Oryzias latipes: one gene and its partner. The protein of the gene in region 1 purifies or fractionates together with the protein of each later gene. This does not show direct contact. Links are inferred from orthologs where the notes say so. Each region holds a gene or a part of one and is shown on either strand. Other genes may lie near its edges.

Evidence for each region.
Region 2: the proteins of nckipsd (region 1) and gemin2 purify together in Homo sapiens (co-immunoprecipitation; 3 studies listed by BioGRID and IntAct, counting the BioPlex papers as one, with this or other methods). This does not show direct contact. The link is inferred for Oryzias latipes from reciprocal best matches to the Homo sapiens genes NCKIPSD and GEMIN2.

What each region holds. Positions count from the first base shown.
Region 1 is NC_019863.2:1,718,113-1,722,819, forward strand, and holds the start of nckipsd (NCK-interacting protein with SH3 domain), read left to right. Parts: upstream 1-1,491; 5' UTR 1,492-1,800; coding exon 1,801-1,971; intron 1,972-3,482; coding exon 3,483-3,595; intron 3,596-3,669; coding exon 3,670-3,883; intron 3,884-4,707. UniProt on the Homo sapiens protein: Has an important role in stress fiber formation induced by active diaphanous protein homolog 1 (DRF1). Induces microspike formation, in vivo. In vitro, stimulates N-WASP-induced ARP2/3 complex activation in the absence of CDC42.
Region 2 is NC_019880.2:19,643,122-19,647,553, reverse strand, and holds the start of gemin2 (gem-associated protein 2), read left to right. Parts: upstream 1-1,319; 5' UTR 1,320-1,451; coding exon 1,452-1,573; intron 1,574-2,477; exon of another isoform or gene 2,478-2,492; coding exon 2,493-2,577; intron 2,578-2,706; coding exon 2,707-2,796; intron 2,797-2,880; coding exon 2,881-2,940; intron 2,941-3,021; coding exon 3,022-3,138; intron 3,139-4,234; coding exon 4,235-4,279; intron 4,280-4,432. Other genes in the region: transport and Golgi organization protein 1 homolog, read right to left, coding at 501-634, 777-897. UniProt on the Homo sapiens protein: The SMN complex catalyzes the assembly of small nuclear ribonucleoproteins (snRNPs), the building blocks of the spliceosome, and thereby plays an important role in the splicing of cellular pre-mRNAs.

The DNA.
Region 1 (4,707 bases):
TTCAAGATAACTAAGCTGAAGAAGATGAAAACAAATACAATTTGAAGGCAGCAAAAGAATGCAATTCCTAGTTTTACCTAAGCCTCTACCTCTTGCTGAGAGCTCTCTGTGTCCACCCTTCCACTAGCTTACAGCCCCGCACAACCCTAACCTAACATCACTAATGCAACAGAAATAACCACCAACATCGGAGCTGTCCAGTCGTTCAGTTTGGATCCAACTCAGATGAGGAAAACAAAGACGTTCGTGGATCTATTTGTCTGCATCAGAATGGAGCAGAGCAGGAAGCTCGTGTCGAACCAATCGCAGCATCTAGACCACAAATATGATCTTTGGGAAACGACACTTTCTTTTGCTCCTGATTCACAACAATTTATAGTAAGAAACGCTCAGTAAAATACTTTTTTAATTTCTTAAAATATGTCCTATACCACAAAAACATGTTAAAGACAAGAAAAACATAATTGTTATCGAAGTGGGTCTTTAAAAGAAAACACACCAACTAGATTTTATATATTCTTTAAAAAAAAAAAAAAAAAAACATCAAGGGGAACCAAGACATTAATTTGAAAGAAAAGTACTAAAATAAATCAGCAAAATCTGTTTGAGATGGACTGAACATATGAAAAAGGTTCACAAATGTTAAAATTGTCACAATGACAACTTATTCTAAACCAATTCTCAAATTTAACAGCATAATGGGCGCTTAAGTTCTCATAACTAAAAAAAAAAGGTTGATTATGAAGCTTTTCTGTTTATTTGTAATGCTCACGAGACTGCTTACTAAATTAATTTAAAAAAAATGAGCAAATTGAAAGAAAAGCCGAAATTAAGCAATCACTATCCCATCCATACCCTTCATCTTGTTTCATCACAACACAAGTTTAAATGTCATTGCCAAATGTTCTCACGTGATCAGAATCTCACAGTCAGAGTTATTTATCTCTAAAGCTTTATATTTATATTATTAAGATTAGTCAGAAACCCCCGTAGTACCTGGAGAAAGCAGGTGCTGCCCTGAAGGACAACAGGAGGCCCTGAGAAGACTTCTGCAGCAGAAACCTGCTGCAAACTGCTGCGGCCATGTCTGAGAGGAGCCGGCGACACACACGGGGGAAGGATTTCAGTGTGACACCACCGTCGGTGTCATGTCTGATGGAGTAACCGGCGACACACACGGGGGAAGGATTTCAGTGTGACACCAGCGTCGGTGTCGAGAACCGCACAATCAAACTCTTCTCACTTTTTCACTAAAAACAAATTCATAAAATAAAACAGTTAAATTAATTCATGTGACGAGTTTTAACCAGTCTGACGGGGAATCAATTTGAGGTTATTTTGTGAATCACAAAAATCCATTAATGTTATTAGTCTGAGAAAAGGGGTGTTCAATGTTGTCCTCAATCTTTGGACAATTTTCAATCTTGAGGTTAATTATAAACATTTTAAACTGTAGATAATGAAAAAAATGAAAGTGCAAAGATAATATGGATAATTAAATCGCCCCTAATACCAGAAATTAGACTCTTTTGCAAAAGTATATCTGGAATATTTTGGAGAGTCGCTCTGATTTTGATTAGCGTGCCTGGTGGGCGTTTCGAGCACAGCGCCCTCTGGTGGCGTGTATTGGTATTAATCGGTCAGGTGACCCCACCGTTGTAAATAGACTTCAGCGAGCCTCTGCAGACATGCCTTTTTAGTCCCTTTAAACCGCCAACAGCACAGCAAACGTTTCCGCTAGGGCTCAGTTTTTCTCCCGCACAGCTTTTCTGCCGCTCGTTGACGGAGCTGTAGGGAATCATGTACCGCTCTCTGTATCCCTTCCGATCCACGGAGCCCAACTCGCTGTACTTCGCGGCCGGAGAGAGCTTTCTCATCCTGGAAAGGAGCAACAAACACTGGTGGCTGGGATCCCGCTGCAGCTCGGGGGAGACCGGATACATCCCCTCTTCGTACATCGAAAAAATACAGGTACGTGTACGCCACAGACCCCGCGGTGCCGGTGAGGACACCGACGAGGCGGTGGGGTTTGACCGCCAGTACGGGGGGGGTGAAGGCGGACCCGGAGATGCAGCAGGCCGTGTCCGAGCCGGCTGGAAAAAACGCGCCGCAAAACAAGGAATTCTGGGAAGTTTGGTTATTTTTGCCACTGCGCAGGTGACACGCTGCCATTCACTTATGTACTTCATTCTACACAATACAATGCAACAAAAAATACATATTTTTGAGTAATAAAAATAAACACCATTTACAGTTTCCTCCCAAAAACGTTATTAACAATCGGCTATTGACAATCGGTCAAGAAAGCCCTACAAATGCTGTGCAGCACATCAGCAATCAAATCAATTCAAACTAATTTTATTTCTAAAGCACCTTTCATGTAAAGAAAACAGCTCATGGTGCTGTACAGAAACACCCACACACCCACACACACACACACACACACACACACACACACGCGCGCACACACACACACACACACACACACACACACACACACACACACACACACACACACACACACACACACACAAACACAAGTAAAAGAGAAATTACAAAAACCAAAAGAAGAAGAAGAAGCAAAAAGCTCAAGAAGAGAGAACCCAGAGAGAAAATCATCAGTCTGGAGGTTTTCATGGTCTTACTAAAAATGCAAAGACAAACATAGAATGACAGTTTCTTGTAGCCGTCATATTTTGCATATGTTCCTATGTCGTGTTAAATGATTTTAAGACCAAATAGAATAAAGTAAAACAAGGTTGTGAATTGGACCATTTACTGTAGTAAATGTAGAATTTCCGCAAAATAAAAAAAACTGTTAAATAGTAAAAATGACGTTTCTGGACATGACATCAAAAATATTCAGATAAATCTGATGTCAAACCTTAAATGAAACTTCTTTTATTGTTTTATTTTTCCTATTTATAAATATTAATTAAAGGTTGCATTTAAAATCCAGTTTTTACTGCAACAAAAATATATTTCTTCAAATTTACGCCTAAATGTCTTAACAGAGTTAGTTTTTTTTCTTTATCTTTGTATTTTGTTTATCTTCCTATGATTGCTTGATTATAATCAACGACGTCAGGAAACGTCCAGAGGTTTTGGGGCCAGACAACAGCTCACCGATGGATCTGGGATCTTTGCCAACAGCATTTCAGAATCAGCCGTCTGTCTCCTCTGAGTCACTCCTCCTGTGTCTGGATGCAGGCGTTGGGTGAACCGGTCCCAGCCCGTTTGTGGAAGACGGGCCTGCTCACACTGGCAGAAGAGGAATGCTCTCCTCTGCCACCATCACAGAGCTTTAACCCCCCACGTTAACATTGAGAGTGGGGTCATCTGGACCCCACAGGACAGCCCAAGGGTTTGAATGACGGTTGCAATGCTGTTCTCATTTCTTTTGGCCAGAAGGCGTTCAAGCCCTTAAATGATGTCCTGATAATTCAGCTCCTTCATCTGCTCCCTCTTCTTCTCCGTCTCAGGCTCCCGAGCAGGATGAGGTGCTGCTGTCCATCGACAGAGCCATTGAGGGAATCCACAACGTGGCCTTGAAAAACGGCGGCAAATACAATCTGGAGCAGCGGGACGTTCTGCAGTGAGTTGAAGGCACGGACGTCACGTGGGGCCGTCGACCTCCGCACAAACGTTGGGTTTTCCTCTGTGTCGCAGGAAGTTGATCCATCACAGGAAGGAGACTCTGGCCCGCAGAACCCCCTCCTCCGCGGGCCACAAACCGGGTCTGCCGTCGTCCAACAGCGAGATTTCGCTCAGCCAGACCCCGCCTCCTCCTCCCAACGGCCTGAAACGGGAGTACGGGCGGCAGGGCAGCATGCCGTTCTCGGGCAGCATGGACAGCATGCAGGGAGAGCAGGGCTTCTACCAGGTAACGTCCTCGTCCGGCCCCCACCCACCTGCAGTTCTGCTGCCCCACCTGTGGGGGGGTTATGGAAAGAAAACCCTACTTTAACCAACACTGAAGTTGAGTCAGGAGAAACGATAACTGTTCCCAAAATACTGAACAATAGATTTTAAATTAAAAGATACATTTTTAAAAATTTTTTTTCAAGTTTTGTTCTTTTTCTTTTAAGAAAAATGTAAATCTTTAGCAGAGATTTGACCCTTTTAACTTTGTGAAGGTTTGTTCAGATTTTTCATGACGTATTGTCCCATTTGTGTGTGTTCTGCTATCTAGAACACACATAGATTGTTTCTATTCCCTTTCTGGATTTATTAAGTACTTTTGGATCGATTTCATCAGGACGGATTCTCTGAATTGCTGCCATTTTTTCCCTTCCTTTTTAGAAGAAAACTCAACAAAAAACTAAATTCAAACTGATTTTGATTTTCATTTCATTCCATTTTTTCATTTCTAGAGCACCTTCCACCACCATCCAAGGAGGCCCAAAGTGCTTTAAATACAAATAAAAAAAAGAATCCAAGGATAGAAACAGTCTAAAGGTCAGAAACGAAGGCAGAGCAGTGGAGGAACAGGGAAGCCTCTCTAAAGCCGACGGCAGTTCATTCCAGAGTTTAGGAGCCAGCACAGCAAACACAGCCTTTGGTTCTCCAAACCCATAGCAAGCACCCATCCACAGAGAGTAGGGACTTTATTTTAAAAGCTAACCCCTTAAGGAAAGAGGCTGCAAGTTACTGAAAAGTAAAAAAAAAACAAGAATTTTAATGTTGAATGTTTAACTTTATGTTGGA
Region 2 (4,432 bases), on another chromosome or scaffold:
GATTTTTAGATCCAAGAATATAAAAGTAAGAAGTTCTGGGAATGTTTATATTTTAAAAAATTGCTTAGTTCTGGTATCTTACTTTTCTGAGATATGTGAAACTTAAATGCTGAAAAGCAACAAGCTTTTGATAAGATGCTCTGAAACTAAAGAAATCAAAATCTAATTCATATTTAACAGGTCAAAAACACAAAAATTAGATTAGATTCAATATTATTGTCATTGCGTGAGTACAAGAACAGGCATCAAAATATTAAATTCTAACAGAATTTTCAAATTAGTTTAAACATGACTATATTTAAACATTCAAAATAAAACTCTTCCATCCAACGGTTAAATGAAAGTCAAAGATGTCAGCATCCCAAATAAACACTAAGGCTTTTTGTATAATAAGGAATATTGTTTTGTTCAACCAAAGACCTTGGATAAGGGACAATTTACATTAAGGTTTCATGATAAGGAGGCGACAGAGATATAAAAGAGATGAAAATTGGACATACACTGCCTGCCCACAGATCCTCCCTCTTTCCTGTAAGTTTGTGGTAGACAAAAATGATATCTCCACGTCTGAAGCTTAGAAAACGGCAGTCGTTACTCTTGTGGTCCCTTATGGCCTGAACCCTGCTCATTAGGCCTACACACACAAACACAAGTGATCAGTTGCATTAAAATGATTAAAATGTCTTTAATAAACCAACTAAGCTAAATTCATGCATAAAATATAACAGTATTTTTTAGGAACTTCAAACTATTTTGACACAAGTGTTTGGACTTACTTTCACACTCAGAATCTCCACAGATCTTGTAGTCGGATAACATTCCTGGATTTATAAGAGGCAAAATCACAAACGTTAGACCCACAATCCAACAGAATTTATGTAGCAGGGAAACATCCATTTTGGGTGCTTTAGCTGGAGTGTATCATAGAAAAAGTCCCATATTTGAGAAGAAATCCCTTTGACCTGCTGTTCAGGAAAGTGGACATTGACTCTGTGCTGTTTCTCTCATGAAACCTCACTAGTGGTAAACGAAAGAATGGAGATAAGATATAACGCTAGCATGAAGCTAATAATTAACAACGTTGCTCGTAACCTGATTGCAGAACAAAACAATTTAGCTCTAATGTCAAAAGTTTATTTTTTTCATTCACCAACTTGATTTGAAATTTTTTTATTTATTAAACAGCTTCTGCGGTTGAATTGAGGTATAATAAACGTGTTTAAATGCGCAACATAAAATGCTCGTGGACTTCGTTCCTTGTCGCTGCCAAAGTTTCAGGCGCTGTCACGTCACTATGGAAACAAATCTCGCCTCGCGCACAAAATTGGCGTCATCAAATCTAGTTTGAAAAACAAAATGGCGCTTGTTGGACAACAGTAAATACTAGCATCTGCCTAGTCTTCGTTTTAATGTCCTGATTTCGCTTAAGAGTTTTACATTATTAGCGGAAAATGAAGTCGGATGTTGAGGAGTTAATGCCAAGGCTGCTTCCGGTGGAGTTAGGACAAGACACCGAGCACGTAGACCTCAGCGGTCCACCGAGGAACCCCCAGGAGTACTTGCGACAGGTCCAGTAAGTTCTCCCTTCTGTTCTCATTAAAGTGGAAAGCCAGTGTTTTCATAATTAAAATGCTTTAGAATAGCAAAGCATTGGTATAAAAAAAATTGTATAAAACCAAAGTTCCTATTTACAGTCTATGTATCGAACCGTGGAATTAGCTCTCCACTTAGTATATTTAAGTGTTTCTGTTGTTTCTTTTCAACAAACTTTATTATCAATACTTATTGTATTAACTGAATAGAATAATATAGGTAAAAGAAAACACTACACAGGTTGCACAACACGTGCCACCTGTACTTTAATAATCAGTCCAGTCCAATTATTTTTGAACATAGAATATAAGTAAATAAAATATAATATGCCGTTTCTTTAAAATATCAAATGTTCTTGTCGCCTTCAATATGGACTGCTTATATGTATGAATGAGGAATGTCCCAAAAATAATGAACAGTTCAGTAACAAAACTTACCTTTTTGGGCAAACCATGTAATTAAAAATATAATATGACATTAAAAAAAGAATTCAGAGAGTTATATTAAATTTTGTGGTTATAAATTCACGCAGATCCGACCAAAATTGCTTGGTGTACATAGAAAGAATAAATAAATGAAAATTGTCTCCTTACTTGATTGGCAAAAAACAAAATTGTTCTGTTTATTTTAAATCTTCTTAGTGTATCTTTAACTGGGTAGAAAGCAAAATAAAACCTATTTTATTTTAATATTAATACAGTATTTATGAACAGAAGTATTAGTCTTTTCCCAATTTAAATCACCCATGGTTGAATACCAAAAAGATTTAGCAGCAAGAAATTCAACTTCTTCTAATAAAAAGATTATTGATTTCAACATCTGTGAATGACTCGTTTTAGAAATTGAAGAGAAGATATTAGCTGTGTTTCCCAGTGACCCCTCACCTCCTTGTGATGTAGGTTGGAAGCGTCCATGTGTCCAGAGGTGGTGGTTGCTCAAATTGACCCTAAGAAACTAAAGAAGAAGCAAACAGTCCATGTATCTGTAAGTGAAAATCTATTTATTTGGTCAAATCTTTATTTGTTAAGGCTTTGTCTGTGTGGTGAGGTCATGTATAGTTGACTCTGCAGCCAAGAGACATGATAATCTGGAAAACCATATTTTCTGTCTCAGGTAGCTGGGTGCCACGCTCCCCCAGTAGGTTTCTCCCCCAGCCTTCACTGGCAACAACAACAAGTCAGTAATTTTTCTGACGTGAGACGGGTAAGAAAAACTAAAAGAACAGTGTGTTGCTTTTATATCTCACTTATATTTCTGCTTATAATGTCTAATTTTTTAATTTACTAGAGCATCACCAAGAATAGAAAACATTGGAGCAGCCAGACTCTGGATAATAATGTACGCATGGTAAGATGTCAAATCCCGCTGCAATGTTAGCAAAGGTCAAAGGTGCTCATTTGCATAATATTTAAGTGTGATCTTTTACAGCCAAACCTTACAGATGAGGAGGGCTGGAAGAAGTTTTGTTTAGGAGAGAGGATCTACTTGGGCGCATCAGCCTGCCCCACAGATGCAAAACCAGAGGCAGAACTGGACTATAGCAAGGTTGTCAACTAAACTGTTGTTAGAATTTTTAAACGCCAAAGTTTTGAAACAAAAAGTTTCAAATAAGACTTTTTTTCTTTTTTGTTAACTTGTTCTGTCCAACAGCTGAGCAAACAGATCAGAGCTGAAGGCCTCTTGTGTTTGAGAGATTTTACTGTTACAATAGGGGGTCATGAATCTTCTGACACACAAGGGGTATATTTATTTAAACTCTTCTGTATTTGAGGGTAAACTTTATTTATATTGATTATGTTTGTATACCTGTTTTGAAAAGGGAAAAGGGGGGGGGGGTTAAAGGAAGTTGGAGCATGATCAAAGAAGTAGAGTGGGGGTAGATTCAGAATCATAAAGCAAAAAGTTGCTGGAGGTTTATCATTATTACTGTCAGATTAAGGCATTAGTCAAAAGGAGCTAACAGGTATGTTACAAACATACCTGTGTGAAATCTTCACATTCCATATGTCAACACATACACGATACAACTACAGCTCACACAAAAATACTTATGCATACATAAAGAGAGAGGAGCCAAGAAAGCACACCAACTTGACCGAGGCAGTTTGACCAGCCAGGGCTCTCCATGATTGTCTCATTGCTGACCCCAACCCTCTGTAGTCCCATCCTGATGGAGGACCCCCTTCCCAGAGGACAGAGCCAACCAGTCTACCAGCCCCCCCCCCCCCCCCCCCCCCCCCCCCCCCCCCCAGATCCTGCAGCCATGGCAGGTGTCACCCAGAGCAACTGCAAACCCCAAGAGGGTTGCCCCACCCCGTCCCAGGACCAGAAGAGTGCAGAGGTGCAGGCCCAGGGTCTCCTGCACCTGGGCCTGCACCTCCTCCTCCTGTCCTAACCCCCCCTGAAAAGACCACTCCCCAAGCCAAGCCAGACCCCCTCAACCGCACCGACCAAACTCTCCCAAGACCATGCAGTACCCCCACCTGCCCACTTCCAGGCGCCCAACCAGGTCCCCCTAACTAACGAAGCCTCCACTGCCCCCCTCCAGCCCCAGAAATAAGGCACTTTAATAGGCATGTTACATTGAGGGACAACGTGAAAACTAGATTTTACTGATGTGTTTGTTTTCATTTTTTTTCAGGTTGGGTTTCCTCCATTCTTAACCATCGTATGCAGACTAAACCAGGTAATTGTTTTTTAACTGAACAGATGATAAAAAAGTAATTTCAATCTTCTTTTGAGTAAATAAGCTTTATAAAAATGTAGAACATAAAGGAGCAGGGATTTGGCAAAATCTCAATTTGTGGATGTGAAATGTGAAGTAAAGACCCACTCAGAT